Schizosaccharomyces pombe: one gene and its partners. The gene in region 4 interacts genetically with the main gene of each other region. Each region holds a gene or a part of one and is shown on either strand. Other genes may lie near its edges.

What was found.
Region 1: mutations in air1 (region 4) and gid9 together harm fitness more than expected from each alone (negative genetic interaction), as found in Schizosaccharomyces pombe (2 studies listed by BioGRID).
Region 2: mutations in air1 (region 4) and rpa12 together harm fitness less than expected from each alone (positive genetic interaction), as found in Schizosaccharomyces pombe (2 studies listed by BioGRID).
Region 3: mutations in air1 (region 4) and pfd4 together harm fitness more than expected from each alone (negative genetic interaction), as found in Schizosaccharomyces pombe (2 studies listed by BioGRID).

What each region holds. Positions count from the first base shown.
Region 1 is NC_003423.3:399,709-408,560, forward strand, and holds gid9 (ubiquitin ligase complex subunit), read left to right. Parts: upstream 1-2,825; 5' UTR 2,826-2,987; coding exon 2,988-3,215; exon of another isoform or gene 3,216-3,277; coding exon 3,278-3,799; exon of another isoform or gene 3,800-3,849; coding exon 3,850-4,314; 3' UTR 4,315-4,505; downstream 4,506-8,852. Other genes in the region: plg7 (1-alkyl-2-acetylglycerophosphocholine esterase), read right to left, coding at 1-976; tho4 (THO complex subunit), read right to left, coding at 1,457-1,975, 2,136-2,202, 2,309-2,433, 2,487-2,555, 2,597-2,641; SDA1 family protein, read right to left, coding at 4,554-6,713; isopentenyl-diphosphate delta-isomerase Idi1, read left to right, coding at 7,160-7,283, 7,348-7,686, 7,743-7,969. UniProt on the Schizosaccharomyces pombe protein: Component of the GID E3 ligase complex recruiting N termini and catalyzing ubiquitination of proteins targeted for degradation.
Region 2 is NC_003421.2:1,038,341-1,041,516, forward strand, and holds rpa12 (DNA-directed RNA polymerase complex I TFIIS subunit Rpa12), read left to right. Parts: upstream 1-1,759; 5' UTR 1,760-1,792; coding exon 1,793-2,017; exon of another isoform or gene 2,018-2,262; coding exon 2,263-2,397; 3' UTR 2,398-2,676; downstream 2,677-3,176. Other genes in the region: Ino80 complex subunit Iec3, read left to right, coding at 3,034-3,173. UniProt on the Schizosaccharomyces pombe protein: DNA-dependent RNA polymerase catalyzes the transcription of DNA into RNA using the four ribonucleoside triphosphates as substrates. Component of RNA polymerase I which synthesizes ribosomal RNA precursors. Required for growth at higher temperatures.
Region 3 is NC_003424.3:501,225-509,296, reverse strand, and holds pfd4 (prefoldin subunit 4), read right to left. Parts: upstream 3,389-8,072; 5' UTR 3,314-3,388; coding exon 2,942-3,313; downstream 1-2,941. Other genes in the region: serine/threonine protein phosphatase PP2A regulatory subunit B-55 Pab1, read left to right, coding at 1-1,094, 1,138-1,161; yip5 (Rab GTPase-binding protein), read right to left, coding at 2,005-2,754; atg10 (autophagy C terminal domain family protein), read right to left, coding at 3,705-4,244; yea6 (NAD+ transporter), read left to right, coding at 5,204-6,319; rRNA processing protein Rrp15, read left to right, coding at 6,913-7,530; SPOM_SPAC227.19C (uncharacterized protein), read left to right, coding at 7,812-7,931, 8,049-8,072.
Region 4 is NC_003423.3:975,731-984,712, forward strand, and holds air1 (TRAMP complex zinc knuckle subunit Air1), read right to left. Parts: upstream 5,039-8,982; 5' UTR 4,851-5,038; coding exon 4,629-4,850; intron 4,580-4,628; coding exon 4,478-4,579; intron 4,423-4,477; coding exon 3,799-4,422; 3' UTR 3,628-3,798; downstream 1-3,627. Other genes in the region: nucleoporin, WD repeat Nup131, read right to left, coding at 1-902; ilv1 (acetolactate synthase catalytic subunit), read left to right, coding at 1,379-3,388; U1 snRNP-associated protein Usp103, read left to right, coding at 5,510-5,519, 5,566-5,781, 5,841-6,163; SHREC complex ATP-dependent chromatin remodeller Mit1, read left to right, coding at 6,338-8,982. UniProt on the Schizosaccharomyces pombe protein: Component of the TRAMP (TRF4) and TRAMP5 complexes which have a poly(A) RNA polymerase activity and are involved in a post-transcriptional quality control mechanism limiting inappropriate expression of genetic information.

The DNA of each region.
Region 1 (8,852 bases), 580 kb from region 4:
CTTGAAAATTGTCGACAAACCGACGAAATTCGTAAGATATAATCATGAGCGTAGGATACCTCATCGTACTCAAATGGAGCTGGCGTACGGGAAGCATCCATATATCGTATAAAATGGAGCACTTAAACTCAGTGTGAAACATATAGTCATTATATAAGGACTTGGTAGAAGAACCGGAAATGAATGCGCAAGTAGCGGCACCAAAAGAATGACCAGCAACAATCAATTCTCCTTGAGCGGTATTCAAATTACCCTTCATGGATTGGAAAACAGAATTATAAAAAGAAGAGTCCACAGAGCAAAGAAAGGGTAAGTTTTCGTCCGGAGTTCCAAGGTCATTGATATTTCGAATCATCTGGAGGGCTATTTGGATTTCCTGCTGTCGAAATAAAAGTCGTTCATTCTGAAGCACAACCGTAGCGTCTGCATAAAAGTCGCTTATCTCGCGATACTGAACAACGTACGGGGGTTCTTCAGGATGTAATGGATCACGCACTGTAGATATGATGGCCGAGTTATCTCTATGCTCCATGGCCAAGACGACGATACCATAGGAAGCGATTGTACCACATAACGAAGAATACACATTTCTCGAGCCAACCAATCCATGGCTGAAGATAAATACTGGCAGTTTCCCATTGTTCGGTGGATGAAACAACTCTCCTTTGTAGACGGGCAAAGCTAAGTTGGTCAAACCAGAAGCGAACGCACGAAGAAGCCACCAACGAAAACCTTTCGCAACTTCGGGTATACCCTCATGGAATGGTAACCAAAGCTCATCGGTGCGAGGCTCTACATCTTTTGTTGGGTCCAATGGATAAAAAATGCGTACTTTTACGGTTCTTAGTTTGTGTTCAATGGTTTTATATTCACATCGAAATTCCTCTGGAACACTCAGCTCTAAGACTAAAGACCCCACAGGCAAGGGACCACAGTAGGCAGGTAATTGCTTTTTCGAAGAAAATCCCAATCCCATTTCTACCTAACAAATAAGAATGTAATGTAGAAATATATAAATTTATTTTATTTTAAAGAATGAAAGATTGTGTCAAAAACGATTCAATCAAATTACAAGAGCACAGTGATGATGTATTGTTAATTGCTATGATCACTGTAGTAGGAATAGAATGGAATAATGCCAGAAACAAAAACAAAATATCTCTTTCGTTAACAAGCACTTATAAACATAAATAAAAAAAATAAAATTAATAAATTTTTGGCCTTGCAAGGTAATATGAATCTGTCTGCTGCAAATTTTAATTTTTGGTACGATTCGTACGATTGTGGTAGAAGAAGGAAGACGATGGAAATTGACGAGCATCTATATATAAAGTAAGGGGTTATGATGAAAGATGTCCTTTTAGCCGGTTCGTTTTTATAATGTACAAATCAAAGCAATTGACTCAATAATCAACTTTTGGCATAGGAAAAGGGTTACTTGCACAGCAATTCGAGCTTAAACCGCTTCCATTTGGAGGTCCATCTCCTCGGTCAAATTACTATCTTTTGAAGGAGCAACAGGCTCGTTTTTCTCATGAGCATTGGCTATTGACGGTGTGAAATCCTGTGATGAGTGAGATGACACAGTTGAAGCAGCGTGAAATGACATTGCGTATTCGTCAAGTTCTTTGTCTAAATCTTCGTGTGAAATTGAATTATTAGAAGACTTTTTTGAAGAAGAACGAAATGATCTGTCGTCTTTTTTTGAAGAACGGTTGAATCCTCGGTTCGAACGAGAAGACCGGCTTGGTTTGCGGGCTGAATGTGGCATGTCGGAAATCCGATCGAATAAGGAAGGTGGAGACTTTTTCGAAATTTGAATTTCGGAGCCCTTCAAGTTCGTAGATTGAAGCGTCTTCTGGGCATCTTCAGCATCTTGGGAAGTTTCAAAGTAAACATCGCAGGAGCCTTCAGAGCGACCTGCACGATCATAGTTCATAATCACGCGAATTGGATGGAAATTTTCAAACAAAGACTTAAGAAAAGGTTAGTTTATTAATAAAAAAAGCGATTCGAAATCGGAACAAAGCTCTACTTAGCTTGACAGGGAGATTTTTTGTCAGGTTCGTTTCATAATCTTCAATCGAAAACTAAAAGCGAGGCTTTTGAAAACATAGTAAACATATATCACTTACCAAAACATCTTTTTCCAAAACCTGATAATGTAAGTTTTCCACACGAACCCCAAATCGATTTTCTGAGCTAAGATTGCTGTGTTAGTATATAATGATAATAACAGTGCATGTAGACTAAGAGCTAATAGAGTAATAAAAAAGTTTACAGCTTATCTTATAAATTCAAAACATACTGTTGTCTTTTCTGTAGGTGAGTGGTCCTTGGATGAGCATCCTGCTCTTGATCCAAGTCATGCTGCCACGGGCCATCGTCTGGACTAGAGTTGTGTTCTTTTGATGCTCTTTTGAATTTGTAGGTCTTAAAAAGTAAAAAATTAGTAAATAAACACTTAATCCTCGAAATTAGCATACCAATCGCGATTTTTTGGAAATACGATTTTGAGATCCCCTTCGCCGACTGTGCTTGTGATCAAAACCATTCTAGGATTGTTAAAACAAATATCGAAAATAAAAAAATTTACCGTTCTTTCATTTATAATTTCGTCCAAGGACTTTTCCAGCGACATTTGAAAATTGGTACTTGGCACGAAAATGTCGACTGGTAAAAATTAACCCGGGGCATTCCAAAAAGGAGATTTCCATACCAATTGCAGATTTTCCTGACATAAATTAATATATGCACCTCTTTTTTTATTGTTTTTTAGCTCTCCTTATTTTTCATTCATCTTGCACTACGGTCCTAGAAAGTGTATCTTTCGCCAACAACCCATCGTCTTTCTGCAATTGCTGTTTTCCTTACATTTAAACAAATTCTTCTAATTACTTTCTTATTCTTAAAATATTCAATATTCTTTAGTTGATTTAAATTTTTGGGTCCATCTACCAATAGTTTGTTAGACTTTGCCTTCAAACATGAATTTTCGTCCAGAGCAGCAATATATACTTGAAAAGCCTGGTATTCTTCTCTCTTTTGAGCAATTGCGCATTAACTTCAAACACATTTTGCGGCACTTGGAGCATGAATCGCATGTGATCAATTCCACATTGACAACGTTGATCAGTCAAGAGAATGCATCAATGGATGAAAAAATAGAAAAAATAGATTCTCTCCTTTCAAGAGTCAGTACTGTAAAGAAGAAGGTAAGTTTGATTGATTCTTTTTTTGAGTTGGATATTTGTAACTTACATGGTTCTTTGTGTAGATGAAGCATTTGCATGATTGTGAAGCTCTGTTTATCAAGCAAACTAAGTCACGACTGTTGTTCATGAATCGTCTTCAAGGAATTCGTGACATGGAATCTGCGGATTTTTTAGATTGGTCAAGAGTCAGACTGAATCGTTTAGTTGCTGATTATATGATGGCGAATGGGTACCATGGGGCAGCTGCTCTACTTTGTAAAGACTCTCAGTTGGAGAATTTGGTTGATTTAGGCATATATAAGCGTTATCAGCTCATTCACGATTCCATTCTTCAACAGGAGCTCAAAGAGGTTTTGTCTTGGTGTTCGGAGCATCGAGCAATTTTAAAAAAAAATAATAGTACATTAGAGCTTGAGGTCCGACTACAGAGATTTATAGAATTAATAAAAAGTAAAAAACTTTGCCAAGCCATTGCATTCGCCAAAGCGCACTTCGGTACTTGGGCAAATGAACATCCTGCTCGACTACAGCTAGCGGCTGCCCTACTAGCTTTTCCTGAATTTACGAATGGTTCACCATATTCGGTAAGTTTACATTGAGAGACCTCTGCTCTTAGCTTATACTGACAAATTAGTTGCTTCTATCCGATGACCGATGGGAATATTTGGCTTCCTTGTTTACCAGCAATTTTACTGCCGTTCATAATATACCGTCTGTACCTCTTTTACATGCATTGTTAGCTGCTGGTCTATCTTCCCTGAAAACCCCGTTGTGTTATCTTGACGCGAATGATGATAATCCTTTAGCATTACAATCCCAGACTGTGAAACAATGCCCTGTATGTACGCCCTGCTTAAATGACCTTGGCAAAGCTCTTCCTTATGCCCATATTACTCAGTCTGCGATAGTGGATTCTCTGACAGGCGAAGGACTTGACAGCGACAATTGTCCTGTTGCTTTCCCGAACGGTCGAGTTTATGGTATCCAGAGCCTCATAAGTTGGAACGAAGCTAATGGGACTAGAGAAGGATTTCTTAGAGACCCTTATTCTGGCAAAGAGTTTCCATTCCAACTTCTTCGTAAAGTTTATGTGGTTTGATACTGTTTATTCTATAACGCATTTTCTGTGAGTTAAGGATTTACACTTTTTATGATGACGCTACGAGATTTATATGTTTATCTTTAATAATGATAGTAATTTATATTATTAAATTCACTTCCAGTATCCACCTTTACCATAGGTTATCCCTCAATCATGTAAACCCAAAACCTAATTAAATATACCTATATAAGATGCCCCAAAAGGAAAAGCATAAACCGAATATAGTAATCAATATCTTACTTTATTTTCCTTTTTTCACGAGCTACGTGTTCTCGTAAAACTTTTTGCTTTTGAACAAGACTTCGTCCAGCTTTACCTTTTAATTTATGCTTAATCATCATAAAGTTCTTGTTACGTTGTTTTCTTTTGTTAGAAAGACTTGTTGGGTTAAAACCTGCCTTTTTAGATGAAAATTTATCACGTCCTTCACGTCCTTCCATGACACTAGCAATACGGGCTTCTCGGTCGTTCTTAGCCTTTTTTCTAGGACCTTCAATTTCATCAGCCTCAACGGCATCGTCTGGCCTCTTTAAAGAACGCTTAGGTCCATTGACGAGACGATCAACACCCGCTTGCTCCCTAAGCTCTTCCAACTTTTTCAAGTCATTAGGTGTCAAAATAGATTGAGACGCAAGCTCGGTCATTCTATCAACTAGTTCCTTTTGTGAAGAAGATCCTTTCTCATCTGATTCTTTTCTTGCAGTGGCCTTCTCTTCCTCTTCATCGCTGTCACTTAATTCAATATTGTCATCACTATCGACATCGATCCAGCCACCACTATCATCAGAATTCTGTCCATCTTCTGAAACTTCCCAATTATCCCAATCGTCTCCATTTTCTCCTTCTTCTCCGTGTTCAGCTTTATACTGAGCTAAAAGTTCCAATCCTTGGATTCCGTGGGTGACGTTTAACTCCTCACCATACTTCAAAGGTGTACGATCTTTCATCTCAATAGAAGCAAGCTTACCACGATCCTTTCTTTTCAACATGTCGGGAGCAACTTCACGATACAGAGTGATGAGACTACGACTAGCCATCATAACACCTTTATCCTTACTAGATTTGTACTCAGTTAGATCCTGAAGAAGGTCGGGAGTCATTGCCAAAGGCGCACGAGCACAAACTTCACGAATAGCATTAATACCAGCACAAACAACCTCATTGGCGACACCTGAAGTAACGAATTCGTCGGCAATTTTTCTAACTAACGGTTCAAGCGCATCTGGAGGTACGAATTCATGGGAAGCTTGAGCGAGACATGCTAAAAACTGAGTAACGTCTCTCTGGTGGGGTGTCAAATATTTCATTAAAAAAGAATAAAGACCTAGGACTGTAAGTTTGTGAGAACCTACCAATCTGGTAAGGAGTCGAAGGACCACCAGTTTTTGATCCATTGACAGACGGCTTTTTGAGCTAGCCAAGTGCTTTTCAAAAAGTTCTTCGGCAAATCCTTGAGGGTCATGAAGAAGCTGTAAAGCCGGAAAGTTAACGTTTGTGGGGACGTTTTGTTTTCCTCGCTCTTTCTTCTTTACAACTGCGCGAGCACGAAGCAAAGCAGCCTCACGGGATTTTGTCTTTTTATTTACATTAGCTTGATGCAAAAGCTTGGAAACATCTGGACCCTCATCATCAGATTCCTCCTCCTCTTCTTGATTGTCAGCACCTAAGAAAAAGTAAATCCCTGCAAGCATAACTTTGGGGTTTGATGATAGTGCGGCAGATTTCATGATGTTTACGGCACGTGCATCACCGGACCAAACATTCCTTTTCCATAAATCACGAACCATTTTGACAGCCCAAACACCTGATAATTCACTTGCTGAATATTCTCGCTTTTGTCCAGAATAATCAGTATGTGTTGCTGAACCACTACCCGAACCGTCAACCAAAGTAAACAGAGCAGACTGAACAGCTTTATTCAACTTATCATTTTTGGCTTGTTTATTGGCATTCCGAATGGTGAGAGATACCTGTTGATACAAAAGTTCGCGAACACCACGAGTAGGATTTTCACGGAAAAGCGGGAAAAAACATTGTAGTAATGTAATAGGAGATATTACTGTTTTATTTTTTAACAGAACAAGGCATAAAACGATTTTTTCACAAAGTTCGAAAGGGAATATTGTGTGGTTTTTTTGTAATAGCTCAATTAATTCGCTAGGAAAGTCGGCAGTAACATCATGATAATAATTACAAGTTTGGGAAATGAAATCGATTAATGAACAAAATTCGGAAATGTCTGAAGATGGATTAACAAGAAAAATTTCGCGCGCGGTTTCATAGTGATTCCATTGCTGCAAAAATTCTTCTCTGTAGGATTTTGGATCCTTTTTGACCAGATGTTGTAGATGAGGAAGATTGTTAGGTAAAACAGCAGCAGTGCGTCTTTTCACCATATTAATGTATCTTTGTGAAAATATAAATCATAAACTAGTACAAATAATCAATTAGTGTAGCAATACCAGTAACAGGCGAAAAAAGCCCTTAAAAAAATTTTTAACCGGGATATAATAAACAACCAGCAAGCCCAGGTCTAGCAATATAGACTGCTTATTTTTAATAAGTATTAATCAATTCTATTAAAAAAAGTGATAGACGAGTAAATGGGATATTGCAATCACAATTTATAACTGAAAAATGAAACAAAAAAATTAACGGTAGAAATTTAAGCTAAGAAGCAAATTTTCAATAATACTTATGTAAACTTTAGGAAAACAAACAGAAAGAAAAAAATTCTTGCTTTAAGTGAATCAGACTTGTTTTCCAATTAGTGTTGTTGTGGTTGGTTATAGACAAGCAATATTTTGCACCAGCGATAAAGTACCTGCTCTTTGCCTACTTTATGATTATGAGTTCCCAACAAGAGAAAAAGGATTATGATGAAGAACAATTAAGGTTGATGGAAGAAGTTTGTATCGTTGTAGATGAAAATGATGTCCCTTTAAGATATGGAACGAAAAAGGAGTGTATGTTTGATTGTTGGAGATTTATAATGAAATTGAAGGAAACCCATTCTAACAAGCCTTTTAGGTCATTTGATGGAAAATATAAATAAAGGTCTTTTGCATAGAGCATTCTCTATGTTCATCTTTGATGAGCAAAATCGCCTTTTACTTCAGCAGCGTGCAGAAGAGAAAATTACATTTCCATCCTTATGGACGAATACATGTTGCTCCCACCCATTGGATGTTGCTGGTGAACGTGGTAATACTTTACCTGAAGCTGTTGAAGGTGTTAAGAATGCAGCTCAACGCAAGCTGTTCCATGAATTGGGTATTCAAGCCAAGTATATTCCCAAAGACAAATTTCAGTTTCTTACACGAATCCATTACCTTGCTCCTAGTACTGGTGCTTGGGGAGAGCATGAAAGTATGTGGTTGATCCGTGTTTCTCTTTATTGAACACTTGACTAACGGACATTCTAGTTGACTACATTCTTTTCTTCAAAGGTAAAGTTGAGCTGGATATCAATCCCAATGAAGTTCAAGCCTATAAGTATGTTACTATGGAAGAGTTAAAAGAGATGTTTTCCGATCCTCAATATGGATTCACACCATGGTTCAAACTTATTTGTGAGCATTTTATGTTTAAATGGTGGCAGGATGTAGATCATGCGTCAAAATTCCAAGATACCTTAATTCATCGTTGCTAAAGTCTTTAAATTTTACCAGAGATAAAGAAAAATAGAGCTATGAATTGTGGTATGGCTTCCTTTTTCTCCTTTTGTTGCTCAAAGCATACATTTGTTTGGGTGGAAAAGTTAATATTAGATGTTCCAAATTTCTTTGCACCACACTTCTTCGTTCTTTAAATTTTTGCTTCAGTTTTTTTACTTCATCAATGTCTCCAAGAGCATATTGTAAATACAATTTTCTTATCTTTTTTATTTGTTGCGTAAATGAACCGTTAATTCGTAAATGTATTTTTAAAGGCTGCTCTTAAAAATTTTTTTGTTTGTTTATTAAAAAAATTTGAATGCTATCCTTTCTAATAAATAAAAACTGTAAATTCAAAAATATTAAGGATACAGGGTTATACCTTGTTTTCCACATTGCGACACATGTTTTATATATGTAGTTTATTTATTTATTTATTATTGACACTACATTTACCAACATTAACATCAAGCTTCAATTTCGCACAAAAATTCCCTTCAAATGCTTAAATCTTATACCGTACAAGTTACTTTAATCAGTTTATATTGGAGTACTATTGTTTACGGAAAGTAAAATACATCAAAAAAAATTTGATGCTTGAAAGTAAAAAAGATGCTCAGCATTTTATAAAAGAAACCCCGAATTTTAAAAAAGAATGGGAGCTATATTCTGCATGCAACTATACTAAATAACAGTAATGTGGTAATAGGAACTACCTGGTTTCAATTTTTTGAACTGATAAAATTTCTAATTAATATTTGACAATCGTTAACCTTTTATTCGTACGTAAATAGAATTTATTTGATTTGTTATCATAATTGTAAATCGCGATTCAACCGTGAGAAAAAACTGGAACAATATTTCGCTATTAAAGATATA
Region 2 (3,176 bases), on a different chromosome or scaffold from region 4:
TCAAAGAAAGCAATGAACAACTCACTAATCATCTAAGCAACGAAAGAGAAAAAAGAATAGAAAAAAACGTCTATTAACAAGTTAACCAAAAACACTAAAATACTACGTATAGCAATTTCAATCTTCTCGCTATGTCCTACAGACAACCAACTCATGGTTACGTATAACTATACTAAAGCAGTGGTACTCCATCCTTATGCAACAATTCTACAAATGGAAATTTTACAAGACACAGATTTTAACGTACTTTTAAAGTATCTTACCTTTATTTAGATACGCTTAAAATCTCTAACCTTTTTTATCATCCTTTTTCTTTACCAAACTGGTTTACTTGTTTCTTTCCTTGGCAAAAACCGAGCTACGCAATGATCGGCAAAGTAAATATCCATTTTCACCGACAAGATATGGTACTCACTAAGTAATTTCCATTATGTAGCAACAATAACTCTTCCTATACATTTTTGTTGCCTACAATCCCATAGACTATGTCACGTTGCACTCTTCCAAAAAGGACTACCCCAGAAAGAGAGAGAGATATGAGGAAAAAAATTTTTGCTTCTAAATAACTAGAGCAAACAAGTCCCACTGTTGTCAATCGTCGGGTACAGCACAATAATCTCACTAGTAAAAACATGCCATATTCATCTCTGTTTTACCAAAATAGAAAATCAACCTTACATTGCATAATATAGGAATACGGAAGCGAGCCCTATACAGATGGACTGGGTTATGGCGGTTATAGACAAAGGCGCTTTCAAAACCATAATGGATTTGAAACGCTCAAGTAGTGGAAAACACATAATAGTAAGTATAATGCCAAATCCTTTGTAGAAAATACACAGACCTTTTTATTGAAATCGTGAATATGATTCTTTTTTTTTTGGTGATCTCTTTTCTTATTAATGCTATATCTTTTGAATTTATTTGTTTTTTCTTTTATTTAGTAGTATTTTTTTTGCATTTTGTTATTTATCTGTTCGCTTTTCTGTTGTACATGTAATAGTTGCAACGTACAGACAAATTAAATTTTTATTATTCTTATATTTTTTATTATTTCCAAGCTTATCACATAAATTACGATTAAAATACCTAAAGTGCAAAATATGATTTCCAAATTGATGATTCAATCAAGCAAAATAATTTTCTTTTGAGATAAGGAAGAATTTGTTAAATAATCAAAAGCACAATTTATAAGGTACAACGATTTTGAAAGTCGCTAGTATATATGTACACAAATCTTGTTCTGTATTCCGTGACAGGCTTTGTATTTGAACAAAGTATTGCCCAGCTAGACAAAAATCGTTTGGGCAACAAAATTTTAAAGTAGCAAGAAATAGCTTCAAACAATTAGTTGATGCTTGAAAAAATACAAAGAAATTTTTCTTACCGAATTTTTTCCAGAAACAACGATACAATACTTATATAGGTGAAATTTCCCGAGAAAGCTTTTTAAATTCCCCAACTTGGAATTCCAAGGTTGATTTATCAATAAGTAATTTCTTTACAAAAACGAATGATTTTTAAATGTCTGTAATTTATGCCTTTAGCATAATGTTCATCAATAGATCAGGAAATTCGTTTACTCATCTCTAGCTTATTGTTTACTAATTAAGGCACTATACTGATCATAGTCGCTCACAGTGTGTATTGGCTTTTACGATAATGATACACTCGCTTTTCCATCACTTACCGCAAAATAATGAGTTACAGCGAAAGAAAATTGCACTTGTCAAAGACAAACTAGCTTGTCATAAACACCAGTGCCTTCCCCATCAAGCAAGGAGGAATCCCAATGTCGGCAATAGGGTCTTTGATATTTTGCTCAGAATGCGGTAACTTGTTGGAATCGACTACTGCCCAATGGACTACTTGTGATCAGTGTCAATCCGTTTATCCTTCTGAGCAATTTGCCAATTTGGTAGTGGAAACGAAGAGTAGTGCAAGTGCTTTTCCTTCTGCTTTAAAACTCAAGCACAGTATCGTTCAAGTAGAATCTCAGAAGGAGGAGGCAGCAACGGTATGTAACTTATTTTTGTCTATTCTTTTCGAATCCTTTTTTTCATGTTGGTTGTCATTCTTCTTTCCTTTTAGGCTTTGTATCATTTGGAAAACTTTTTTTTTTTTAAGAATGCATTAGGAGAGTCTAATCAAGGAACTTTTTTGTATCATATATCCAGTGAATTGAAAAATCGGCACAGTCAGGCAAAGGACTTTATCATAGTCCTTTTTTGGGTTTATTGCCATACTAACAAAGTTTTGTAGATTGAGGAAAAATGTCCAAAATGTGGAAACGACCATATGACTTTCCATACTTTGCAATTGAGGTCTGCTGATGAAGGTTCTACGGTGTTTTACGAATGTCCTCGATGTGCTTATAAATTTAGTACAAACAATTAGATTGAGTTTTCATCTGTTAATCATTCTTTTGGTTGTGATTTTCTCAATATTTCACTGTTTCTTACGCCGTTCTTCATGTATGTATGCTGACTGATTTGTATGAAGACTATTGTTTTTAATATCTTCGATTGTCCTTCTGCTTCCGTTATTTTCATGCTCGATAAATTTTATTTGTCTAGTAATACGGCAACGTTCATGAAATAGAAAGAGATGCTCTTGATATCCGATTTTCTTGTTTTGTCTTCTATTTTATCCAGGTGTTAAAAAAAATAACAGTTCTTCTGTTCTTGTTGGTTCTATTTTTCGGGGTTACTTTTTGTTTAAAAAATAATATGGTATAACTTATTCCTTTATTCATTATTGTCTTTCCTGGTTCAAACTAAATAGAGAAAATTCATTGTCTATCACGATTGAACCTGTGGATACTTCCTTTCTCAGAATTTTTAAAGAGTTTGAGTTTCAATGTTTATCAGCATTTTATGAATAGTAGTATATCGGTTATTTATTTCTTTTTCTCTAATATGGAAATGAATGTGTAACGAAATGGAGCGTACTATGTACCGTAACACTCAAGAGCCCAAATGGGCAGGTAGGTGTTCAACCATTTGAAATATATTCTCACCTGCCTTTTCACATATGGCGTCTGTTAAATCCTTTAAACGAAAATATTTAAAACTTCGAAAGTCATTTGATTCGGTAGTCCTTGAAACAGAGGAAATTGAACAAAAGATTGCTGAAATATCAGAAGTTTATCGCAGAATTTTATTAGAAAATGCGTA
Region 3 (8,072 bases), on a different chromosome or scaffold from region 4:
TCAATAAAATTCGCTGGTGCAAGAGGACTAATCGAGCGCATTTTTTACTCTCAACGAATGATAAAACTATAAAATTGTGGAAACTATATGAAAAGAATTTGAAAGTCGTTGCCGAAAATAATTTGTCGGACAGTTTCCACAGTCCTATGCAAGGACCTTTGACAACACCTTCGCAACTTCGACTCCCACGACTCAACCATCATGACATGATTATCGCTGCATATCCACGACGTGTTTACGCTAATGCACACGCATATCATATTAATTCGATTAGCGTTAACTCTGATGCAGAAACTTACATTTCCGCTGATGATTTACGTATCAACTTATGGAACTTGTCCATCTCCGATCATTCATTCAACATAGTTGACATTAAACCTGAAAATATGGAAGAACTTACGGAAGTTATTACTAGTGCCGAGTTTCACCCGATAAACTGCAATCATCTCATGTATAGTAGCAGCAAGGGAAATATCAAACTCTTAGATTTGCGTCAATCTGCGCTCTGCGATAATCCATGTAAGCTTTTCGAGGATCAAGAAGATCAAGATTCCAAGAGTTTCTTTTCTGAAATCATCTCTAGCATTTCAGACGTTAAGTTCTCACAAAATGGCCGCTATATTCTTTCAAGAGATTATTTAACTCTTAAGATATGGGATGTCAACATGGAAAAAGCTCCCGTTAAAACTATTCCATTGCATGATGTTTTGCGATCAAAGTTATGCGATCTCTATGAAAATGACTGTATTTTTGATAAATTCGAGTGTACCTTTTCTGGTGACGACAAACACGTTTTATCAGGAAGTTATAGCAACAACTTTGGGATTTACCCCACAGATAGTTCTTTGCCTGGCGATAGAGGACAGATAGTTTTGCAAGCCGACAAGGCTGCATTTAGAGCCAGAAAATCTGCTGCAAATAACGTTCCAAAGTTGAATGCTGTGAAAAATAATGATTGGCGGTCACAACCTCAAGCTGCGATGGGATCTGCTTCTGTTGGCCTTGATCCTGATAACCTGGATTACAATAAGAAGATATTACATGCCAGTTGGCATCCCTTTGAAGACTCAGTTGCCATCGCCGCTACTAATAATGTACGTTTGCTTATCAACTTTTTGTTTACTAATGTTTCAATAGCTTTTTGTTTTCTCTAAGCTCTAATGTCCTTATGTGGAGTTTGGTTTGTTTTTATGATCTACGGATAGACTGAACATAGTTCCTTTTTTATTGAACTTCCGGGAATAAGAGTTTTCTTACCTTCTTCTTTCAGATTGTATTCTTATATACACACACCATTTTAACCATTAATGACAGAAATAAAGTTTTTAGGACTAATGATAAAAGGGTGCTTTGTTTATCTCCCTTCATGTATGCCGTGAATCGATACATATGTACTTTGCTATCCACAGTATTTTTCTTTTTCTCTTTTTACGTGTTCCTTTTTAATCTTGAAATTGTGGTGATGCATCGTAAATTTCAACGTTTTTTCAATATCTCACAAAGTTTTTTTCTCTTGTTGAAAAAAATCTGAATTTGAAATCGTAAAAGTACTTTTCAGGTTAAGCTTCACCATTAATTTACCTTCAGCTCTTTTTTGTTGAACAACGAGTAATAATGTGTTAAGTTTTCTATATAAATGACGGGAGATCGATTGCAAAAATATGACTAAATGTCATAAAGTCTTTGGTTCACTAAAAAGGCTACAATTATTTTTACTAAGGCATGATTCATCAATGCATAAGAAATGATTATTTATACGTATTTTGCACCTGAAAAAAAAACCTAGTAAATTGAGGGAACATTAGTAGCTATAGTAAAAAGAGTAGAAAATCAAATGTAAAGCGAATATATGTATAAACTGAATCATATAGAGTATACCAACACTTAGACTCAATAGGATCTTAAATGCTGAATGACTTTTCTAAAGAATGAAAGAAGGGGAATAGTATAATTTTCGAATGAAGCAATGCGACTGATAAAAGAAACTCCTCACAAATTAGGATATTAACTGAAGAATATGAGTTGAAGAGACAAAGCGAGCAAACAGTGAAAGACGATAATTCCGAACAATAAAAGTTTGCACAAATTTGATCCGGCTTGCTGACAGATAGGATATAAATTTCTAGTTAAAAACACAATGGAAATTAACAAACCAATCCCTGTAAGTACATATTTGACAATATGGGAGGCCAAAGTAGATAGCAATCCAAACGGAGGAGTTGCTAAAGAAACGGGAAGCCAAACAATGTTAGCATATCCATATAAACACAGACAGTCGAGTAACTTAGGGTTGCATTTGTTCCACACTAGGATACCCCATAACAAAACGGCGATAATGGTAGTGTAACCATAAATAATTGATGCTGCAGAGATCAACTTTTTTATAGAATAGCCACTTGTACCATGCCCTGTGGCATAACGAGCGTATTCGGTAATTGAGTTGGAAAAGAATAGAGCCTGTATAACCGTAGTGGTTATCCAAAAAGGACCGTATAAATCGGGACGATCATCTACAACATCAAAGAAATTTACAGTGGGAATAAGAGTATGTATACATCGTTGAACCACATCTTTAGTTTCCACGTTAAATGAATCTTTGATGGTCCATGGCGTCTCTTGCATGGATGCGCGACGAGATTGTAATCTAGGGGCCGGAGGCTTTGTAATGGGAGTTCTCTGCTTATAAAGGTCTTCAGCCTCAAATGTTGTACGACCTAGGTCAGCTTCCGAGTCAATTTCAATCTCATGTGCCATAGTGGTGGTTGGATACTTGTAATGGCTTAGGGTGAACAAAGAAGTTTACTTATTGGAGGCGCTAATTGCATACAGATTTGGTATTGTGAATAAATTTAAATGCATGAAATGTTATTTAATTAAAGAAACTAATTCAGAAAAATAAGATGAAGCTTCTAATTTTGAGATTTGCTGCTTTTTCCAAATCTTAGTCTAGGTTAATTTGATCGTGAAATTTAGAGTACAGCATTGATTTCAACTCTTGAATGCGGGTTTCGTCTTTTTCCATGGAAGATCTTAATACGTCGACTTGCTTTTCCAAACTTTCTTCTGACTGCTCAAGCTGGTCAAGGAGTACAGGAAGGGAAACTTGGAAAAAGGCATCGCCAACCTTTAAAGCTGGAATATCGTCTCCATCATCCTCGTCTAGTAATTCACATTCATTTTTAGCGTCAACAATATCCTCTATTTGCGTTTTTAAATTCTTAATATCAAGTTCTTGAATGGCCTTTCGAGAATGCAACACTGAAAATTCATTTAAATTCCTTTGATCTTCTGCTAGAACAGGAACTTGTTCCATATTTGTTGCTAAGGTGTGTTAGGAGGAATAGTATATAACCCGGTTTCGTTTGTCTTAACAAACAATTGTTGGTGTAGAGATCAATGCGGTCAAGTAGAGGTTTAAGTGGAACAGTTGAATGATATGTCAAAACAGAAGGATTATTAATTAGTATAGTATTTTATCTACAAATTTAAAGAACAAAAGCTATTTTCTACAATTGAGGTCTTCAGATCCGTAATGTTTTTGCTGTCAAATAACAGGTCAAAATTTTACTATAGATTCACAGGGTATTATAAACTAAAACCAGAGAATACGGATTAAATTGACTTTTAATTTAGTTTTAATCATGGGGAATAATATTTAATAAGACAAAGTCTTAGCAAGCATACCCGTTTATAACAGGTTATCTTTAGGATTTTTCGGCATCGTCAACTGCTTTTATTATAGGCTGAGTTAGCGGAGAAAGGACTTGATGAATATATAGCAACCAAAGAGAGAGATACTTGGGATCCTCTTTGTCTATCTGAAGCATTTCGAAATAATCACGCGTACGACATGGATGGATATACCATGCTATGCCTACTGTACCTGGACAGTCCCCAATAGCAAGAGCGTCATATGCTAAATTTTGACTGGATCCTTCTAATAACTCAAAAATCTGTTCCATCTTGGTAAGAGGATCTGATCCGTTTGCATAAGGTTGAAAGAAGAACTGCGGGACTTCGAAGGATGGAGAATCCCTAATCCAGGCGTGCATAGTGATCATTGGATTCATAAGGCTTAAAATATCATCTTCTTCCTGCTCGTATAATAAGGAATCATTTTTATCAAGTAGCTCAGTATGCCATTCTAACTTCAAAATACACTCATCAAACTCAATCAACTCACAAGAAATACCACCTTTCGACAGCTTCTGAGCAAGGATAAGTAATTGAGACTTAAAGCTCATTATTGTCACGGTTAGCCAATTTAATCACTTTATCTTTGCTAAAGCAATAAGTAATTGAAGAAGGAATTATTGTCCCATAAGCCTGGCTACAGTCTGATTGTTCAACGCACTATTCCAATGAGGGCAATAGAGGCAATCACCTGTCAATATATTTGAAGTTAAGTCTCGACAAAAATGGTGTTTCAGTTATTTACAAGTATATTAATTCTACATCTTGCTTCTAAAGTTGACAATAAGAGTATGACAAAACAGTACGTTGGAGTTTACAAAGTTATCCAACAATATAGTGGTACACTGTGTAGTTACTACGTTTTCAACATTTCTTCTCAGCAAATGTAGGATTTCTTAAAAAAATAATTTTTTCGACTAGAAATTGGCGGTAATCAAGAGAAGCTAATGTATAAAAACAATATGTTTGGACTTGGAAAAAAATGAAAAACTAAGGTTTTATATTAGTAATTTCCTCTTAATACTTATACGAGCAAAAGCAAAAGCAAAAGCACTGTTCCAATGGTGCTTATAAAGCCAACTGATCTGTGAAGTAAAATTGAGATATGTGTGTAAAGCTGTTAGCAACATCAATGTCACCATTATATATTGTTAATGGGCATTACGACTTTAATCATATCTGATATGCACATATAAAAGAAATTCTCTTTTAAGGGCATGGAACGTCCTCTCAATTAGTAATTCGGAGACATTCATGTCGTTAATGTGGTTTACCGCACAGTGATTCGACTTTCTTATTGACGGCTGCCAAACACTTTACTTACATATATGTTGTTGTACAGCTTCTTACATCAACGCTAAAATATATATACATTTCCAATTTGAAACATCGTAAGGCGTTGGATCGTTCTTATCAGCGTCTAAAAAAGTAAAGAATTTGTCAAGGTCTATTATTTAATTGCTGTTTTCTTTAGATGCATGCATTATCATCAGGAAATTGATCCGTCTTTATGGTTGATGATTCTCTAAAGGATGCTATAGCAGGAGGAGCTGCTGGATTGGCCTCTTCTCTTGTAGTGGCACCTTTAGATGTAGTAAAAACAAGAAAGCAGGCACAAAAGGCTTTTTATTCAACTGGTGGTGGAAAAAATACAATGGTTTTGGGTGGGACCCTCAGTTCGATGCGAACAATTTTTCACAATGAAGGCATCGCCGGTCTTTATAGAGGTGTTGGACCCATGATGTTAGGTTATCTTCCTAGTTGGTCCATTTATTTTGTAGTCTATGAAAAATGCAAAGTGCTATTTGGGGTAAATAAAAAATACACTTCTCTCCACGAAATTGATTCGTCCAAGGTTGGCATCAAGGCTTCCTTAGATAGTTCTGACAAACAATTTTATCGTTACTGGGGTGGTCAAATCTTTTCTGCGGTTATCGCCGGTGCTGCAAGTGTCACTCTTACTAACCCCATTTGGGTTGTAAAAACAAGGTTAGTCACTCAATCACATCCTAGGGCTTCTTCTTTTGTAGATAAAATTGCTGCGGCTACAACCGTCCAGTTTCGTAATCTTCAAACGGACGCACCATCCGTCAAATGGAGAATGCCTCGCTTTTGGCTCAAGCGTAGGACGAATGTCAAATCTTCTCCATCACAGCATCCAGTGAATCCTCCCACAGGCCCTGCATGTTCACCTGCATACAACAACACATTTGACGCATTTCGAAAAATTTATAAATACGAAGGCCTTGCAGCATTTTACCGAGGTCTTTTCCCCTCTTTATTTGGTACATTGCATGTTGGCATCCAATTTCCACTGTACGAATATTTTAAATCATTTTTGGATGATTTTTTTGGTAAAAAAAGCAACTTTCATATAGTGTTAGCAGCTACTTTGTCTAAAATCGCAGCTTCTACCGTCACTTATCCTCATGAAGTTTTGAGAACTCGGTTGCAGAGTTTGGATGCACCTACACACAACTCGGCTACCTTACTTATTCGAGACATATGGCGTTCAGAGGGTTGGAGAAAATATTACTCTGGCATGGCAACAAATTTTATACGCACCATACCTGCCAGTTCGGTTACCTTCCTCAGTTTCGAAATTGTTCGCAAATGGCTGAACTAATTTATCCGTTGTGTATATACTCAAGAAAACGATCAAAGTCTTTATTTTTTTAACGACAATCCAAGGTTAATCAGTTTCCTTGAGATGTGTGCATGATTTCTAATATTAATTATTACTGTCTCACAGCTGTTAGGTTTTCCTAATTCTTATTCTTACCCCCTCTCATCAATATTTATTTAATAATTACCTTTTATTAAGCATTTGTTTCTTGTGTTACCAGCCCAGCCCTATTTTGAGACTGGATGAAACCCATTCTAGTTTATTTTACTTTAATACGAGTAGCCCCTGTTCGTGGTCATAAGCATGAACGTATCAAGCTTTGAGCTTTATTAGTGTTTTTTTGGTCAGAAATTTCCAATTATTCCCATTCCTATTATACTGAGCAAATTTATAATATTTTAGTGTTCGCCAAATTGAACTAAACTACCTAAAATAAAATTAAATTTTTTTTATATAATTAAAGAAACAGAATATCAGTTTTATTCTATTAGAACGAACTAGGCGCTTCAAATTGATATTGTGCATTTTTTGGAGACCATGCTTTACTTGGTGGTTCCAGTCAAAAAATTTCAAATTTAGACAACAACACATTAATGGCGAAATCACAAAGATCTCAAATAAAAAACGAAGATATATCATTTGTCTCTCAAGAAGATGATTCCTCTAAAAAATTTGTAAAAGATGATAGCGAAAACTCTGAGGAAGAGTTGGAAGACTTGAACAGCGAAGACGAATTTTATCAATCCAATAGTTCTGAAGATGAAATTGAAGAAGAAGTTCAAGAAAGTACCATTGCTGATGACATTGCTGATATCTTAAATCAACAAGTTACTCAAACTGATGAACAAGACACGCCGGTTCTAAGTTTGTCTAAAAAATCTAAAAAAGCTTTACGAAAAAGTAATGCGGAAAAAAAAGACTCTAAACTACGTACTTCTAGAAGACGTGAAAGATTGAGAAAAGAGATGGTTGGTCGTGTTACGAGCGTTGTTGCAGTTAACGCTGAAACAGCAAAAGCTTTATTCACCCATGAACGTGAGCTTCGCCGTATTGCTCGCAGAGGTGTAGTTCAATTATTCAATGCTGTTCGTACTGCTCAACTTCAAAGCTCTTTAAATAGAGAAAACATCTCTGGTGGTCGTACTGCTCGTGAGCAAAAAGTCAAAGAGCTCTCAAAGGCGAGCTTCCTTGACCTCATAAAATCCCAGTAACGGGAAAACTTTCAAAATAGGGCAATACTATCCCAGATCTAGTTTAACACGGTTTTTTAAGGCTTTCTTTTAATGTTTTTCTTTTAATTCTCCTTTTTTCTTTAACATTTGAGGAGATTCTGTACTTTTACTTTGTTGTCTCTGCGAAACGTTTGCTCTTGTACAACTAGTATAGATTCTTTATAAAAGGTATTTAGTTAGGTTTCGTTGGTTATAATTAAATTACTACTCATCATATTTTGTTTAAAACGTGCCTGAAGATACCTATCAATACGGTTAAAATGATGGGTTCGATGGTATCTAATGGATACTTACTGCTATTTACCTGTTGGTTTTTATTTGTATTTGGACTTATGACTATATTTAACTTTGTTGAGATACCACTTTATGTTGATGGCGATGTAAGTTATGATGCTAAAATCTCAATGGCATCGTCGAATATTTTCTGCCAGGGTCATTGTACCAATATGTTTTAATTTCTCTATCTTGTACAAATTTGGTTCTAATATTTTTAACAGGTTTCACCTATTCGTTCTTATTAT
Region 4 (8,982 bases):
GATTCCTGAATACTATCTAAAATTATATCATAAATGTCAAAACCACGTAACAAGTGGTGATCACCAGTCCCGAATATTTCCCAAATTCGCAATGTGCTTCCAGAATGCATAGAATAAACTAATCTCTCACCAGGTCCTTTTATTGAACCACAACGTATTGGAATAACTCTTCCTGAAGTAAATGCAAAGATACTGTTGTATAACGACAGCAAGCAGTTGGGGATGTGCAATCCAGGAAATAGGATTCGAACCTGAATAGAGGAATTGCCATCGCTATCTTTTAAATTCAGATGAAGCAACCGACCTGAACTCAGAGTAAGGAAAAAGCCAGCAGGCTCAGCACTAACCAAATTTTTACAGCTTTCATATCGTTTTAGTTGAATCCTGTAATGAAGAAAACCAGGAAATTCGGGAGCAGAAACCTCAACGTTCATCAAAGAAGTTCTTTCCCAGTAGAAAAGGTCGCCCGAAGCAGGCCACAAAAGTAAAAAGCCAGGCTCTGCTGATGTTGGATCTGGCTTAACAAATCCAGCTAACGGTGGGCTATTTAGACTCTGCTGATCTAGAATACCCGTAAAACGTTCCCAATCAAAGCATATTAAGTTTTGGGGCTGACTTCCATAACCAGCAATCCATGCCTTTCGAACTTTGACACTAATATACAAATAATATTCCAAAATAGAGTCAATTAGTCCAACAACTGGCGCATCATGGATTGTAAAATTGCCAACCTTAGGAGCAGATATTTGGAGTATTTTGTACAAGTCATTTGATGCACAGACTTTCGGGTATTCTGAAGTAGCTAATGTCTCATGTTTGTTTCCGTCGGCAACTTTTTCATGTTTTCCTGCAGGCGTAAAAGCTTTTTCATTTTGAAAAAACCGTCGATGTACAATAAACATTGCAATTCCTCTAATAAGAGGCTCACTAATGTTTAAAAAAGCGAAAGTATCTAAGATCTCTTACGTGTTAAACAGATTATGCTCAAAGATAATTCTGACGATTTTCTAAGCTGAATCGATAGGAAACTTATAATTTAGGATCAAGAAAAATTTATTTGACGTTTTCCAGCATTTACTAATGTTTAAAAAATTAAGGAGACATGGATAAATAGATAAATTGTATTCCTACATCATCTGAACTTTTTAAAGAATAATAACACGACTTCAAAGGGTATAGTATTATGCATCGGTATATTTAATCTCCGGGGTACAGTACTTATCGTTAACAAATCTGATCTTTTTTGTGGTGGTGAACAACCAATGTTTTTAGGCAAAAATGAACCTGCTCACTTCTCATACCGCTCAGCATACCGATCTTTTGCAACTTGAAAGATAGCTCTTTCTAGAAAGGAATTGAGGGTTAAAAGTTATTTATAATGACTGTGCTGGCTCCCCTTAGAAGATTGCATACGAGGGCGGCTTTCTCGTCTTATGGACGAGAAATTGCCCTTCAAAAGAGATTTTTAAATTTAAATAGTTGCTCAGCTGTGCGGAGGTATGGCACCGGCTTTAGTAATAATTTGAGAATTAAAAAATTAAAAAATGCATTCGGTGTCGTTCGGGCAAATTCGACCAAAAGCACCTCTACAGTGACTACGGCTAGTCCTATAAAATATGACAGCTCGTTTGTTGGAAAGACTGGGGGTGAAATTTTCCATGATATGATGCTCAAGCATAATGTTAAGCATGTATTTGGTTATCCAGGTGGTGCTATCTTGCCTGTCTTCGATGCAATTTATAGATCTCCTCATTTTGAATTTATCTTGCCAAGACACGAGCAAGCTGCTGGACATGCAGCCCAAGCTTATTCCCGCGTTACTAAAAAACCCGGCGTTGTATTGGTTACTTCTGGACCCGGTGCTACGAATGTGATTACCCCGATTGCTGATGCATTGGCCGACGGTACTCCCCTAGTTGTATTCTCTGGTCAAGTAGCAACCAGCGCAATTGGTAGTGATGCATTTCAAGAAGCTGACATGGTTGGTATTTCTCGTTCATGTACTAAATGGAATGTAATGGTCAAAGATGTTGCTGATCTTCCCCGTCGTATAGACGAAGCTTTTGAGATAGCTACTTCTGGACGCCCTGGCCCTGTATTGGTTGACCTTCCCAAAGATGTCACTGCTAGCGTTTTGAAGGAGCCCATTCCTATACTGTCTTCTGTACCATCAATGAATCGCAGAATGAAGGAAGTCTTAGAAGAGGGCTCCAAGAACGTTACTGCCAAGATCGATCGTGTTGCCAATTTACTAAAATTAGCCAAGAAGCCTGTGATTTTCTGTGGGCATGGTGTTTTAGCTAATCCCGAATGCCCCACTTTGTTACGCAAGTTTAGCGAAAGGCTGCAAATTCCTGTTACTACTTCTTTGCTTGGACTTGGTGCTGTAGATGAACGTTCTGACCTTAGTTTGCATATGCTCGGTATGCATGGTAGTGGATACGCTAATATGGCCATGCAGGAAGCCGATCTTATCCTTGCTCTTGGTGTTCGCTTTGACGACCGTGTCACCGGTAACGTAAGTTTGTTTGCTCCTCAAGCACGTCTTGCTGCTGCCGAAGAGCGTGGCGGTATTATTCACTTTGATATTTCACCCAAAAATATCGGTAAGGTCGTACAACCTACTGAAGCAATAGAGGGCGATGTATACGAATCTCTAAAGCTTTTAGATTCTGCTACTAAAAATATTAAAATTCCTTCCCGATTTGACTGGTTATCTCAAATTCAAACATGGAAGGAACGCTTCCCTTTCACTTTCACTCGTAGCGCTCCTGGTGAATTGGTAAAGCCTCAAGAAGTCATTCAAGAACTTGACAAACAAACTTCTGACATAAAGGACAAAGTCACTATTACCACCGGTGTCGGTGCACATCAAATGTGGGCCGCTACATTCTATCGTTGGACAAAACCTAGTTCTTTGGTAACCTCCGGTGGTCTCGGTACTATGGGATTTGGTCTCCCAGCTGCCATAGGTGCTAGCGTTGCTGCACCTAAAGATATTGTTATAGATATTGATGGTGATGCTTCATTTTCAATGACTGGTATGGAACTTGCTACCGTCCGTCAATTTGATATCCCAGTTAAAATTCTTATCCTAAATAATGAAGAGCAAGGCATGGTCACTCAATGGCAAAACTTGTTTTATGAGAAACGCTATTCTCATACTCATCAAAAGAATCCCAACTTCGTTAAGTTGGCTGACGCTATGGGCATCAAAGCACTACGTGTAGAAAAGAGAGAAGATTTGGCTAAAAAAATGAAGGAGTTTTTGTCAACTAAAGGTCCTGTGCTTATGGAAGTTTTGGTTGCCCAAAAGGAACATGTGTATCCATTTGTCCCTGGTGGTAAGGCTCTTCACCAATTTATTTTGCATGAAAGCCTTTCATAAATTTTTTTGATTAATTTAAAAACAGCTATTTTGTAAGAGTCAGATGTAACACTTATTTAAACTTGCGTTAATTATCGTGTCACATTCTTTTAGACTCTGGTGGGCGGTTTGTCATTATTTACCCTAAAGCAAATTTGTTTGTTTTGCCTTGTTATCTTCGATTTTGGTTGTTTTTTTTTGTTTTGCTTTCTAACTATGGTTTACTCCGTTATCATAGCTTGTATTTAATTTTGATGATGGAGGTCAATAACATTACAAATTTTGCGAACATAGCAAATGAGAGTGTATAAAATTAATGTACATATATTTTAGATTTTGCCAATAAATTTTAGTAAGATAGTATTATCAATGAGTGCAATGCAATGTGAGCAGAGCGATACACCATGCGATGAATAATACCAGCACATGAATTACCATTTTCGTTTACGATTTTTTTTTGAAGTTTTGGTAAATTTTCTTCCATCTGAAGAATGAAAGGATAAATTGCCATTCTCCTCAGAAGGTGGGCTATGTTTTCTTTTAAAGCTTTTTGGCTTAGATCCCAGCCTAGATGCTAGAGAATTTCCTGGTTTGTGAAAAGGCCGTTGTTTCGACGATTTTTGATTTCGATTCTGCTCTCGCCTCTCCAATTGAAACTCTTTACGACGGGTTTCAAAAAACTCCTTGTTAGATGCATCATTTCCAGAAGGACAGTTCGCTTCACAAAATGCAGTGCTTTCAGGATAATTTGATCTAGATGGAAGAGTACAGTCGTCTCCAAAATGTTCATCAGATGCACAATTATAACAAAACTTTCGAACCTCAGAAACATCAATGCGAACAGGATGTTCTTTTTCGACATAATACCTCCAAATTAAAGGACACGTCGAACTAGTATGAGTATCGGTATGACAAGTCCGACAAACTCTAGGTCCTCTTTTTCGCGGCTCCGAACATCGCGCAGCTATATGACCCAGTAGTCCACAATTCATGCACTTCTTAGTCCAGGGGCATCTTACGGAAATATGATCATCAATTGCTCCACAAGTCGTACACTGTAATACAGTTAGTAACACTATTAAAAAAACAATGTCCGATCAAAATGCATACCAGAACATGAGGACAATCTTTAGATATGTGACCATTCCCTTTACAATTATGGCAAACTATACTTTCTGAGGGATCTGACCCGAAGTATCTACCCCTGCTCACCTAAATTTTATTAGTAAAAAGTATTAAAAAAAAACTTTTCAATCCATACGTCTGCCCATTCACTTCCTTCCACATCTTCCAAAGTACTATCGGAAAGATCCGTAGAGGAGTCATGGTCATCACTTCCTTGAAAATCATGCTTTTCCAAGCTCACCGAATTTGTGATACTCTGGTCAATCGGTAAAGAATTAATTTTTTGTAACAAGGCCGCATCGTCGATGTCTGAACCATCATCACTTTCTGCTTTTTGGTTTGAAACAGTCATGTCCATATATTGACAAGCAATGTAATAATGGCAAGCACAGTTTTCTTTAACACTTAACAGCCGGCCAGTAGTTTACTTCACAATATTCCCAATCAATTTAACAGTTTAAAAGCAAATAAAACATAAAACACTTCAAGTATTTAACTATCAAATGGAAATTTAATAGTTTCAGTAAAGGCAAAAAATTTTTGGTTAAGGTGTGAGTATTCACCTTACATGGATTATATCTGGCTTTCTCATGAGAAGTTTATTTCATTGAAATGAGCATGACAATAAATGAAATTCAATAAATAACTTATACTCCAAATTACAATTGTTCTCTCAAATGCAACACTTAATGCATAACCAAGAATGTCTGGTACTTAAAAGCCCTGATCGTGAAGAGATATTGAAAGTACAGCAGTAACTTAATTATATTAAAATATTAAATGATTGCACCTTCCCGACTCTTCAAGGCGTTGGATTTTAAAGTAGTTGAAAATTCGAGAGCTTCGTTTCAACACTTTGTAAAGCATAGATAAACAGTAATTTAACATTCAATGTTTAACTATGAACGTTCTTTGTATAGTTGTTGCTAATTGACATTAATTTCTTTTTAAATCATTTTAGCGTTTCAACACAGCTCACATTTATTACAAGACTCAACAACAGCCAAACACGCTAAAATGCCAAGATGTATGATACGATGAATAACAATAATTGAAAACTAATTAATGCTTAGATTTGTGTGATTACTGCCAAGTTTGGCTCACTCATGATAGCCAATCAGTTAGAAAAGCACACAATGCTGGAAGAGCCCATATACAAAATGTTCAGGACTACTATACGAAAGTAGCTCAAGAAGAAGCCCAAAAACAACTTGAAGAAAGGGCATCCTCTGGATTTTTAAAAAAGGGGAATGGTTCGCTAGACCTTCCTTATGCTTATGCGTTTCCTCGTAAGTTATTACTTTATAATACTTTTGTTGAATACGAAGTCTAATATTCCGAATTTTAGCCAAATATAATGTCTTTAACTTAGGATGTCCACCACCGCCCTACATTGTATCCGCAAATACCTATATGGCTCCTAAAGGAATGAATGCTATGAATGCTGCTGCATTCGTCCCTATGATGCCTGCTGTAAATTTAACAAACCAAGTAGCTTTTTCAGCTCCCCAGACTACAGCTTCTTCTAACACTCAACTTACACAACAGCAGCAATCTCTTCCTCAGACAAATGAACATCAACGCGCGCGTACTCATTCGAATGCTAATAACCATTTTACTAAAACCCACCATCAGGGTCAAAGAAGTCATCAAAGGTTTGTACGTGCTTAAAATGACATCTAAAAGATTAAAACTTGTTTGTTACTATTAATGTACTGTATAATAGCTATTGTTTATAACCGTTTACTACTGGTAATTCTTTCTCTTTGCGTTACGTAGTGAAATTTAAGGACAACTCCAAATACACAGTATTTACCAAGAATATTTAGATATTCATCTCAAAGCATGCCAAAAGAAGATGATTCTTTATGTAAAATAGTAGTACGTCGTGAACCGCTTGATGTTTTACTACCTTATTATGACGCGTCTGAAACCACCGTTCAAAAAATACTGCACGAAAATGACAGCACACTGAGTGTTAAATTCTTGGCGGGTGTTGAAGCATTGATAAAAAAAGATGAACTTGATAAATATAAAAATGGAAAAGCTTGTTTAAGAGTATGGTTAAAACACAAATCTCGAAAGAGGTACCATGGGTATATGACTTCAACCGATAAGGATGAGGAAGAGAAAAATGATTATTTACTGAAGTCTAATGGTAGTAAAGTCTTAAGGGACTCAACACGTACCAAGAAATTTAAGTTCGGAAAGGAATTTCACTGCGCACTTAATCCTTCATTTGTCAGTGATGAAACGGCTTCTGACAGTGCAACTTCATCTTCATCTGATACAAATAAGAAGGTTAATAGAAAAGAGCATAATGAGTTATCGTTGTCGCATTTATCTTTCAATGACACGTCCGACTTTGGTAGCTCCGATCTAAGTTCTTCGGAAATTGAGTCCACAGAAAACGATAATAAAGCTCCTTATTTCTCACTTCTTTACTCTGACGGATTTGATTTTATCAAATTTTTACACGTCTGTGTATGTGTCAAATGTCATGGACGTGAACATCGTTCCTCTGGTAAAAATTTTGTTTACTGTGATCATTGCTCAAATGTATACCACTATGACTGTTCTCCACTCCCTTCTTTAAATAAAGAAACGCGTAATTACTCTCAGCAAAATGGTTTTATATGTCCTTTATGTTCCAAAAACTCTAAGGACGTTTTGTGTAATACCGGGTTTGTTTCAGGCGTTTCTTCTGGACAGGATCTAGTTATCCCCCCATCCCTTGCTGATAGGGAATCTCTGTCAATTTTAGTCAATTACTGCAAGTCTATAAGGTTTCGGTGTTTTCGATGTAGGCGTGTCGAATATTTTTTTTATCTGGACAGTAATCCTTTGTCTATTCAGAGAACAATTACTCATTTTATAAAAAAACTTGTTTGTAATGAATGTTCTATGCATCCTTGTGATATTGAAGAGATAATTGCTTGGAGAACTCTAAACAGTTTATATCCTTCAAAAGCTACCCTTTCAAATAATTTTGTTAGTACATCGGACTTGAGCTTTTGGTCTAGAGAGTATTTCGTTCGAAGCAAAGGTAAGTCTTACCTTCACTGTTTTTGGTGTTCTGCTTCATGGCTAGCCGGTATTTCATTAGCTAAAAAGAAAAATTTCGATGGTTTGGAGAATGCCTCATACGACGCAACTAAGCCCATTATTCCAGTATCGTATACAATAATCGATAAGGTTTGGGATGTTCAATATAGAAGTGGAAAGAATGCTCGAACGGCAAAATATAAAACAAAAAAACATCAACTGAAGGCAATTTCTGAAGTTACATTCGCCTTTGTTTCTTGGCGTGGTTTAACTTATTATATGTCAAATTGGGAACCACCTCCTAAAGAAACAGATAGAAATCGCTGGAAAGCGTGGTTAAAAGGGTATTCGGACTTGTTGGAATGTCTATGGATCGAAAAAGCCCCTACAGCTTCGATAAATATTGATTTACCATTTACTAATCTTGAGTGGCACTCTCAACCAAGTTTTATCAAAGGTGGTACACTAATGCCATATCAACTGAAAGGGCTGAACTGGCTTTATTTACGATGGTACACACATCATCCTTGTATTTTAGCTGATGAAATGGGTTTAGGTAAAACTGTACAAGTAATATCTTTCATTAGTGTTTTATTTTACAGACATAAATGCTTCCCGGTACTGGTTATTGTCCCTCATGCCACTGTTGCAAATTGGGAACGAGAGCTTAAAAAATGGGCTCCCTTTCTACAAATTAATGTACTCGTGGGCTCTGAAAAAAACAGAAGTTTAGTCCGTGATTATCGTCTAATCAATCAAAAAGACCCAAAACATGTAAGCACTCATGTCCTCGTTATAAGTGCTTCAAATGTTGAACGTGAAATTTCATTGCTCCGAAAATTTCAGTGGAAAGTTTTAATTGTTGACGAAGGACAACGACTAAAAAATGATCAATCTTCCCTCTTTTATTACCTCTCTTCGGTTAAAAGTGACTTTAAGCTTCTTTTAACCGGGACGCCATTGCAAAATAATGTTCGGGAACTTTTTAATTTACTGCAGTTTTTAAATCCCATGAAAATAAATGCTGCTGAGCTTGAAAAAAGATACAGCATTATTGATACGGAAAAGGTGACTGAACTTCATCAAATCTTAAAGCCGTTTTTTTTAAGAAGAGTGAAAAGCGAAGTACTGGATAACTTTCCTACGAAGGTTGAAGTAATTATTCCTTTGTCCATGACACCTGTTCAAAAAGGTTTATACAAATCGATTCTTTCAAAAAATTTGTCTTTGCTACGTAATATTACCGGCTATGCTAATACCAGTTCTTCTGGAGGGCAAAGGACTACTTCATTGAACAACATTTTGATGCAACTTCGAAAAACATTAGCTCATCCGTACATTTATTCACCAGATATTGAAGACCGTAATCTCCCGTATGAACTTGCTATGCGTTCACTGGAAGAAGCCAGCTGTAAGTTTTTAATATTACGCTTATTGGTACCGAA